Schizosaccharomyces pombe: one gene and its partner. Changing the gene in region 1 together with any one later gene gives a genetic interaction. Each region holds a gene or a part of one and is shown on either strand. Other genes may lie near its edges.

Region 1 (6,659 bases):
TTTTCTGAACGTTTGGACAGATATGTCTGACTAGACTTTTTAAAGAAAGAGGAGAAACTAGAAGCGTTAGGAGAATTTACAGTGGTATCCTTTTCGGATTTATTTGAAGACTCCTGGCTGGAAGGAATTCTGAAGGTCATTTCGCGCCTCGGCGCATGTAAGTTGAAGAAAAAGAAAGACTTAAAAAAGATTGAAGTAAAGAGAGACCTCGAAAATGAAAGGAAGATTCAAAAAGAAATGTAATGTAAACTTAAGTCAGGATCTAAATTTATAACAATTGGAGACAGTAGATAGATTTGTCGACTATACGAGGATAAAACTGACTGTAATAAGGAGAAAGCAACCAACGTATTACCTTTAATGAACAGATATTTTTTCCCGAATAATCAAAAGAAAAATCAATTGAGAAACTACCGAAGCGAACGAACAAGGGAAAAACAATTAGTGATTAATATAATGCATGCAGCATGGAATGAAATGAAATGAATGAAAAGTAATGAACTGGAAGGTATGGAAGATGAAAAATGGTTATGAACAAAGAACGAGAAACTGAAACGAAGATGTAAAAGTGAAACTTCTGTGAGACGGTTCAAATGAATCGAAATTTTTTAAAAAAAAAAGCACAAAAACCAAGTGTGATCTGATTTAGGCAGCGCAGAGCAAACCGAATAAGCAAAGCAACGAAAGTAAAATGAACTCTAGTAATTTGAAACCCTCAATGGAAATACGAACACAAAATTAATGAGCAAAAGTCATGTCCTTGGGTTGATAGCAGGAAATTTAATGAATCGTCAATTGCTAACCAATTCAACTAATTAATTTCCCTAGAATTTTAATAATGAGTACAAGTTTTGGTGCTCCAGAAAAAAGAATTGAAAAGTAAATACTAGTTTTGTTGGTTACAGTAGTGTTATTTGCTCCGTCCACAACATGCCCGTGTCTTTATCGCCCAATGCATACAAACCCGCCCACCGCAAGGTATTCTGCCACACCCTTCCTCGTATGACCAAATCCGACATGGTCTGATAGAAACGTAGATAGCAAATGGCTAGCACGATGTTCCTGATAATCTAATGGGGCAAATGGCACCATAATGTAGTTTATTTTTTTATTTCTAATGTCAATGATTTAGAAAAATTTAGTTCGCTATCGCAAGTGCTTAAGATACACTACTTCAAAATTATAAACATAACAAATATTTTTAACAAGCTCAGCTGAACATGTTTCTAGGTTGCACCCTTTACTCATTATAATAATTTTTTTTTTAAAAATTAATTTTGAAAGCAAATAGCAACCAGATGTGGCAATAAAAAAAGTAACAAGTAATTTACCCACAACAGAAAAATCTAGGTATTTTTTATAATTTTAGAGATGCTTTTGTTTTACTATATACATAATTCCTAACTGTTCATAAAATTTATTTAACCACTTTACCAAATATTTTGTTTACATACCAATTGAAGTACAACCAAACCTGACCATTACAGTTATTGATCGTGCTCAATTTGTATATTGTTTTATAATGACTTAAAAAAGATTAAGTGCAAACATCAAGTATAAATTAAGATACTATGCTCACAAATTAGTGCCACAATTTTTGTAATAAGGCTAACTCATTCTTAGTAAATTTTACTTAAAAAAGAAGAAAACGAAAAATTAAAAGCACTTTTATTTTTCTAATAGTAAATGTATTTATATTTATGATATGTATAAGGATGGAATCATTTCACTTATATATTTTAAGTAAAAATTCCTTAGCTAGCTGAAACATTTTCCTTGTGATTAAATTTCTAACACTCAGTTATTTCGTATTTGTTTACCTTATAATAGAAGTACTTAAATATCGTTATTCTAATATAACGAATTGCTTCATCTTGGTTAAAAAATGCAGCGTCACTCTTAAGTCAAAAACATCAAGTACGCCGCTACAAACATGCCGCATCCGACAGCCGAAAGCGCATATACCGGTTTAAAAATCATCCTTTAGACGAGTGGACATATCGTTCTTAATGCTTTCTTATATGAATTGAAGTTTTTGGAAACTAATAGAAGGAAATGAAAAATCATGGCCGCTCCTGCAAATGCGTCTTCAAAAAAGGATCATGTTATTCCAGTCTTACTGAACGAATGTAGCATTGATTCTCCGTCTTTTAGGGCGAGCATGTATTATCTAGGGAATCAAATCAAAGCGTTTAACGAATGGTCTCATGATTTCTTATGTTGCTGCAACAAGTTTATCGAGTCAATAATGGCGATAGAGCCCATTGTCGCCAGTATGTCGTTGAATGCTATGCCTTCTAATGTTGCTTCAGGATTTTTTGATCCTGATTATGCAACAACCGCTTTGCTTCACGGTCAAGACTTATTTCGGTCGTCATATATGGTGCAACTTCAACAAGCTAAAAATTTACGGAAATTTATTGTTGCTCCATTAGATCTATTTCGAGATTCAAAAGTTAAGCCTTTGCTTCAATTAAATGATCGCTTTAAAGCCGAGCAAGCCAAGTATGATGCGGAAGTCTTAAGGTATTCTTCTCTTGGACATTCAAAAGATTTATCGCAAATGCGGGATGAAGCAAAATCTTTATACGAAGCTCGTAAAAGTTATTTTACAGTTGCTCTACAATACGTAGTTCGAGTTACCTCCTTTCGCTCATCCATTGATTTCATAGTTATTGAAAGCATTTGCAAGTTTTCAATTGAAACGTTTCGTTTGACTGATCGTCTGCACGAGTCCAATAGGCATATAAATGATCAACTAATTCGCTTACTCTCTTACGAAACTAAACTTAAGGAATCTTATCCTTCACTAAAAAGAATAGTATCTAACGTTTTTGATAGAATTGAGAAGGAAATTCTTAAGAGAGTACAGCCACCAACTAATTTAGACGCATATCGTTTCGATCCCCAGCAAATATGTCAAACAAACGCAACTAAACGTCAAGGGTGGTTACTAAGAAATATCAGTTCTAGCAAGGCAGATAACAAAGCAATTTGGAGAAAATACTGGTTTTTTGTCGACAATGGCTATGTCGGATATCTTATTAATGATGCCAATGGTGGTGTTTTTGAGAGCGAAAAAATCGGAGTCCTTCTGTGTAAGTTTTCTGTTTTACCAAGCAATCATCGGAAATTTTGTTTTCAAATAAAAACGAAGTCCGTGAGCTACATTCTGCAAGCCGAAACTCACATGGAAATGCTTGAATGGGGCAGCGTAATAAATAACGCTCGAGAACACTGTATCAATTCCGGGATATCTGCTAACCGAATCTTGTCTCCTACCTTACCATCGTTTTCTGCTAAAGCTACATCAATTATAAATCCACAAGTCAATGGGCGCTCAAACTCTACGGGGAAAATAGGAAAAAATTATCGTCCTCGTCGTACTTATTCGGGACGATTGTTATGTGGTCCAAACAATTATGAAGTTTCAACTATAATGCGATCTCCCACAATTTCAACTGTTCCTCCTCCAAAGTATCTTTCAAATTCCATAAATGGCGCTAAATTCCTTAATCCGCTTGCTCCATGGACCCTAGTCAATGCACCACTGATAACAAATTTGACTCACGAAACGATAACCAGCCTTTTGGACCAGGAAGCCTTTTTTCATGGTAATTCTCCTTGCGCCTTACTGGCAAATTTTTGGGGTTCAGTCAATTACGGCCATGTTTTAGAGCGTCAGAACGTGTACATTGAAGATCTATCAAATCCTTCTTATAAACGTTTAGCTAGAGAAATTCACATTGAAAAACTTCCTTCTGAGCTTAAGTTGAGGAATGCTGAATTTAGAGGTATATTTGGTGAATCGGAAGCATCTACCGTTTTATTTGTATGCCGTGTTTGTAGTAAAAGAGAGGATCAAATACGTATGCCTGGTCGAATGTATTGCACTATGAAAGGGATTTACATATATTACAACATCAATGGATTGGTCCTCATTGAGCATTTCCCCATTTCTAGCATTTTAAACGTAAAACAATTTGCTAGTACTAAATGTGATTATTTTTACATGAATATCCAGAACATTGGGACTGTAAGGTTCCGTCTCTATCTCGATTCTTCGAAAGCTCTAACTGACCGACTTAATGTGTTACTGTGCAATTACATTGCCGATAAACCAAACAGTTCAATACAACTGTTGTCATGTATCAAAAGATTGAATGATGATGTAAAACGCTTTGAAAGGGGTGGTGACGATAATGCTCTCAAGTCTTATGGGGTACAGCCATCTCAAGAAGATCTCCTTATTCGAAGAGGAAGGAGTAGTAGAGCGCTAACTAATTTGATCAATAAGAATGAGAGTAATGATTCATTTATGGAAGACCTCAGGGACTTCAAGATTGCTATGCTTCCGAAAGAGACAGTCCAAGTTGTTCGTTCTCATCATCTGGACGATATTGTATTTGATCGAGTGTACAATGTTTCTACTAAGGCATTGTTTCATATTGTTTTTGGTGATAGAAGCACCGTGTTGTCTGGTGCTTACAATCTTCATGGAGTAGATGATGTCGAATTTTTACCATGGGGAAAAGATCCAAAAACCAATTTGAGTCGTCGATACATCAATTATAAGGTTTATAATTACGACCAAGAAGGTCAATGTCAATCTTACCACTATGAGGATTGCCAAATAATGGACGTCCGCAATGATTATCATTTATACATTATGACATGGCTTCATCACTCTTGGACTTTGCCTTATAGAGATTACTTTAAAATCGTGACAAAAACTTCTATATCTCACCTTAGAAGGGAGAAGTCTAGATTGCTCATATCTGTAGGCCTTGAATGGATCGTTAAACCTTTTGCTATATCAAAGGTTATTGAGGCTGAATGTAGAAAACTGGCTATCAAGTATATAAAAACGGAAGTCAACTTTTTGGAAAAGGCAACTAGAAGAGCAAGAAATCAGCCGCTTATTGCGATAATAAATCAATATGGAAGAGTAGGCGACTACAATGAATCGATGGTTTATCGAAGAAAAATACCTTTTAACTGTGAATTGAAAAACCTGTCAATTATCGATATTATTCGCAATAATTGGTGGCTTTTTCTTCAAGGATTGGCAATTGATCTACTAAAGCTGCCGTGGGCTGTCTTCCACATTTTCCTAAGATATTTATTTTCTCACTCATTTTTGGTTATTATTTTTGCTTGTTCGGTTATCTTGAACCTTTCTCTCATGTTTTGTTTTGGAGCTAAGTACTGGGATGAGCGACAGAATAACAAATTTGTCGGGCAAGTTTTCGATGAGTTTAAAAATATTGAAACTTCTGCTCGTTATGTTTATATGAAGGACGTTGATGATTTATTAGTCGGACTTCCTACTTATTTGCACCCCAACGTCACTTATCCAAGTGAATGGTAAGTTTGTTAGTAGTACCATGTAATTATAAATGTTGATTACATGTACATTATATTATCTTTTTTTTGTTATTATTATTATTCTAATCTTTTTACAGTTTACAATCATTTGCTTTAAAAAGTTCTCCTCAAAAAAGTCACTGGTTACGAAAACGGAATTATATTGCAGAAAAAAGAAAAAAAATATTGGAAAATTTGGCGTCTCTAAACTATTACGAATATATAATTCACGAGGATGCCGTATATCAATACATTCAACAAGAGCTGTTGGGATGTGACAAAGCAAGGGAATTTGATTTATACCCACCCTCGATGCAAAGGTATTGCGATTCTTGCACGCAAGATTGGAGGAACCGCACTTTGTTTTTCGGCAAAGACACTCTAGCTACAAGATTATTGACACTCGAGACTGTGGAAAACGCAGACTACGCTGCATAATTGTTAATGAAACTGTAACTTAATTATTTTTATTGTTATTTTATTATCTTTTTTATATTTAGGGTTTTATGAGTTATTTGATCAAGCACTCGTTTTTTTTTGTCAGATACACAAATTAATAAAGTTGAATTTATTAAACATATATATACCAAAGATAAGTGTAACTCCTCTACATCTTTCAGAATCGTCCTTTCTATTGTTTAATAAACAAGGTAATGATATGTCAAGTTGTAGCCTTGATAACCGCAATGATTACAGCCATGCACTTGGCAGCATTAATCGACAGCACCACCGTAAATAGTTTAAAACCTTCATCTATCTAAGTAGAACGCAATTACATTCTGCGCTAAACACATATTTAATTCTTTGTACTCATATTTTGTCACAGTACTTGATAGTACGAGGGTTGCTTCATTTTATTCAATTGCTTATAAAAAGAAGTTTCCGTGTGATGGAAAACATCAAAGTTGCAAAAGTAAGCATAATGCGATTAGATCTAAAACTTAATTTTATCAAAATATTAACAAATAGGTCGGAAATGTGAAGTTTGTGAACAAAGGAAACGAATTGAACGGAACATTGCATTTGACAGCGTATCATTCTATTTTTTCAATCTCGGAAAATGGGAAGGAAATTTGGACGGCATATTCCATGATAAATAATGTAAAGCTTTGCTCTAACGAAAAATCATTTTGTATACGTATACAATGCCGAGACTTTATGTTCTTTTGTTGGAGGTTTCAAAGCACGGAGGATGCGATGGACGTATACGACACTTTACAGGAATTGATGTCTATTAATTCAATAAATATGCTATACGCATTTTACTATATGCCCTCCGGAGATGAAGAGAA
Region 2 (4,606 bases), on another chromosome or scaffold:
ATTATGAGTTTCTAATGCAGTAGTTTCATCATCCACCATTGACTTAAGAGATGGAGAAAGAGCTACTTTTTTTAGATCATTTTTCATTTTTGCAGTATCATTTCTGTTCCACACCAATGCACCTTCCATTTGATGAAAAATTGGATAATGACTAGAATCCACTTCATCGCGACGGTATACATCTGCGGTTATTAAGAAACCATTTTTCTTAAATCCTTCTTTGGCCAAGCGAGAGAACTCTTCAGGTTGATGAGCCGAGGTATGGGTTCGAAGACAAGTTTTATTGTTCATATAGTAAGTATCGGATTTGCTTCTACTTACATGTGTCTTGGGAAATCCTAAAGAATCAAAATTCGTCTCTACAGAAACAATAGGTGATTCTTTTTGAACATTATTCATTTCGAATTTTTGAAATTGCTGTTCGAGAAGTTGTCGTAGACTGCATATGGGATGACCTTCTTTTTGAAAAAGGTTTCGACCAATTTTTGAGTGAATATGCTCTGGGACATTGGACCAAGAATCTGTTTGGACTTTTCTTTTCCAATTGGGAAACCTTCTCGAAAATAGTTTCGATAAATGAGAGACTCGATGAGGGAACATTGATTTCTTAAATAACACACTTCACTTTTTGTAATCAAACAATGATAATTTAAATTAGAACAACGAAGCTAACTATTTTTAAAATTAATATATAATAATAATTTAATAGAATTCAATCAATCGGTCTTAATTGCGTCCCATTTGAAAGTAAAAAAATGATAGTACCCAAATATAGGGGTTGTGCCGTTCTTGGATACAATGAACAAAGGAGTAAAATTCGAATCGTTTAATTTTCAAGCAGTGGTTTATAGATTTGGTCAGTTTACAAATATTTCATTCATTGTTTTTGCATAAAAAAAATATATGCTTTAATTTCAAAAGCCATTATCACTCAAATGGATTTCATTACGACGAATTGCAAATTTTATTTCCATAAGACTCCTGACATAACTTTATTTAGAAAGATAGAGCATCATACTGTACATAAAGTTGCCAACTTCAAAAGAAGTGCAGAAAAATTATCAAGGACTTTCTTGTAATCGGTCATATTAGATCAAGTATTTAATAGCTTCACTGTCCTATAAGCCGTACAATCGTAATGTAGGCTACAAAAAACTCAACATTTCAAATAACATTTCAAATCATCCCGATTTTAAAGAAAGCAGCATTCTGCGTATGAAAATTCATTCAAACCCCTAACAAGTTTGTCATCTACTAACATTTTACTCCAAGAAAGGCTGGGGTTTAAAAATTAAATAAAACGGTTTGAAGCGTAACAGCAAAACTCGAACTTTGTACTTAAAGTACGATACAAAACTTGACTTTAGAAAAGGAAATAGATTAGACAACACTAAAATCCTCCAACACGAAATTAGAAGGTCCTGAACGTAATGATACTAAGCTCATGAAATCATGAAAAGGGAGAAACTATTAAGGTGTTCACTAAGGAGGGGAGGATAATTAAATGACTTGATTAGTAATGAAAGAAGGAGTTTGCTTATCCCCGATAATAAAAAATTGAGAAAACTACCAACATACTGGACAGACGTTGTTCTTGAGTAAAATGACAAATATCATGAAATTAAACCAGTCTAAAGTACAAGGTATTTTTCCATGCGTGACTGAAAAAAACTAGGATGATGGTTTCAAAAGATTTTGAATATGATCCTTTTCTTGAGCAGACATCCAATCGGATCCTTGTTTAGAAGATAAAATTTGAGCATACTTAAGGAACTTCTCGGGACAATTCTTAAAATAGTTACATCCAGCAAAATGGATACACAAGTCCCCGTCGTCATAGCCCCAAATATTATCATCAAAATCATATGCGTTTATAGCCTTAAGTGGGACAACACCTACATGTTTATACACCTGGGGATGGTAAAATACCATGTGAGAAAACGCTTGTTGCTCAGCATATCCCTGAATATGATCCAAATATAAGGGTTCAAACCACAAATCAACAATCCAGCGGCCAACTTCGCTATTACGAATAAAAAGACTGCCAGCGTTAATACCATTAAAATCTTGAGAGATGATGAAATGAACATCCTTAGCATCCTGATCCTTTGGAGTTCTAAATCCATCGGCGGGGATACCTGCACCACTCTTATATTCAGCCTCCCTAGTTAAAATGGTATTCAATCGGTCGTGCTTAAGCACATGGTCGACGACGTTAAGATCTTTGTTCATGACCAACGCGTCATGATCAAGCCACCAAATCCATTCAGCGTCAGGATATTTCTTCATCGTATCTTGAAGCATAGGGACCTTAACCCAGGGCATTAAATGACCTGTAACACGAGAAGCATAGGCATCGGCATCTAAGAATTCGAATTTGTAACCATGGCGTTCAGCATATTCACGACGATTTTTGATAATGGACTGAGCGAAAGGATGGAGAGGAGAGTTAGCATCATTTTGAAAGTTAGAGCCCATCAAAATGACGATTTTAGAGTTATCCGGATGAGGATCAGTGGTAGCTAAAGCATGAACTACAGAAGTGACAGTTGGAGTAGCAGTGAAAGTTTCGGTTAAAGTGGCAGTAACACTAACAACTTCACTAATGGTAACACGTAAAGTATCAGTTTGGGTACTGGTTACGGAGGAAACGACTGGGGTCCAAGTACTCGTGTGTTGGTCGATGATCTCCTTCATCTTCGTTTGAAGCTTGGTATCCATAGCTGAAGTCCACCAAGCTCCACCCAGGATTATGGTTGTAATTACAACAGCACTAATTAAATAAGGAGCGAACCGCATTGTCAAATAATCAAGAGTAAACTAATAATATAGAAGAGACAAAATAAAATAAAATGATAAAGGAACGGAGAATTTCCTTAGAAATGCAAAATTAAGCAGTGAACGAAAGATAAAATTAGAGAAAGGATGGTGATGAGTGATATATGAGAGCTTTTAAAAAGTAGAAACAGGAAGGGTAAAAGAACCGACAGTAGGAATATTAGACGAAAATCAAAGAAGATTCTGTGCAATAAAAGAGATTGTATCCAAGAGAATGTAGAAAACCTAGATACGTGTGGTGAATTAAAAAGAAAAAAAACCCCCCCAAGTGAAAATATTCTCTCAACTAAGAAATCTGTTACAATAAGTAATGGTAAGAAAATCCCTGTAGAGAACCTATATGAAAAGGTTCAATTTGTAAATAAATAGTAACCTAACGAACGAAGGCAAAATATAGCAAAGTTTAGAAAGAAAAAGAAGCGAAAGAAGGAAGTAAACACCAGTTTGAAGTATATAACTAGTCCAAACCAATGAAATGAATACTTTAATACTACTTGGCAATGTAGGTGTTAAAAATCACTTGAATCTAATTAAATCCACGATAAAGATTACAATTCAGTACTTGTCAACGCAAAACTAAAAAGAAAGCAAAAATCAAAAACTCAAGAAAAAGTATTGAAATTTAAAAATGCCTCTGGAAACCAAAAAAAAGTGAGATTACCAAAAGCGAAATGAACAAAGCCCGTATAAACGAATAAATTAGCTCAGTAAAAAATCCTTTAAAACCAGTTTTTCGTCAAGGTCTTACAATTAGAATGTTAACAAACACAAAACCAATTGCCTTAAGCAAAAAAAAATTGGTGGTAAGTTAAGGCCAGGTTTAAATCGGGGGGGAATGCTAATATGTTTCTGGAGTGATGGATTAATTGTCTCCTTGTTACCTGCCAAACGTGTTACCTGTTATTGAAAATAAAAAAAGGGAGCTTGCTAAACAATTGTATTTATAGAAGTCAGTGACTTGTGCATCGATGCAATCCCGAATTTCCAAAGAAAATTAGTTTCTACATTCTTTGGTAAAATTCTGCAGTAAATTCTTGACGCTTTGGTGCGGTGATGTTAGTGTAAACAAAGAAAAAGTCAAATGGCTGGTAAAGCCAATATTACAAAACAACATGGCAAGTGCTAGAAATAAAAGTAGTTTAAAGAGATATAATAGTATCATTCAGGTTTTAAAAGACATCGAAATAATTTTTTTTTAGTACTGCCGCTTAATGGGAAAAAATTCTATTCCAAACATGAAAGACAATAAAACTTCTAAAAAAGATGAAAAGAGCAATAAATAAAAATAAAACAATAATAAATCTAAGTAAAGCATAATTCGTATTTATTTAAATATTTTTGTTTCGATTGAAAATTACTGATCCAACTAATTTAACCCTAGAGAGCAAACTAGTAATGACTGAGCAAGATTCATTGCTTTGTTTCTATTACCATACTGTATATTATCGGCTTCTTTATATTATTAATTACCTTATAGCAAGTTCCTCCAATTATTTAGTCCCATCCCATACCATACCGATTGTTTAGGAATTTCCAATCGATCGTTTCGCTAACTTAACTGCATGTAACTTCATTCAAATTCAAAGCCAACAAACCTTTTTCGATGTTTAATGGAACATAGGATCTTTTACCATAAAACTCAATGTTTTCCCCTTTAGTTACACTGCTTTACTTCTTTATTTTTGTAAACGGACAAAAATAAATTTGTCCCCTTTACAACTATCGGACCGGGTGGAAAAGAAAAAAAAGGGTTCCGCAAATCCTAAAC

The links.
Region 2: mutations in ltc2 (region 1) and gma12 together harm fitness more than expected from each alone (negative genetic interaction), as found in Schizosaccharomyces pombe (one large-scale study listed by BioGRID).

The regions. Positions count from the first base shown.
Region 1 is NC_003424.3:2,484,344-2,491,002, reverse strand, and holds ltc2 (BAR and PH domain-containing protein), read left to right. Parts: upstream 1-1,912; 5' UTR 1,913-2,065; coding exon 2,066-5,367; intron 5,368-5,465; coding exon 5,466-5,805; 3' UTR 5,806-5,920; downstream 5,921-6,659. Other genes in the region: guanyl-nucleotide exchange factor Sec73, read right to left, coding at 1-140; ymr1 (myotubularin family phosphatidylinositol-3-phosphatase), read left to right, coding at 6,257-6,280, 6,337-6,659.
Region 2 is NC_003421.2:315,054-319,659, forward strand, and holds gma12 (Golgi alpha-1,2-galactosyltransferase Gma12), read right to left. Parts: upstream 2,800-4,606; coding exon 1,672-2,799; 3' UTR 774-1,671; downstream 1-773. Other genes in the region: msf1 (phenylalanyl-tRNA synthetase), read right to left, coding at 1-600. UniProt on the Schizosaccharomyces pombe protein: Involved in the O- and N-linked oligosaccharide modification of proteins transported through the Golgi stack. This occurs in cis Golgi where the enzyme transfers galactose from UDP-galactose to a variety of mannose based acceptors.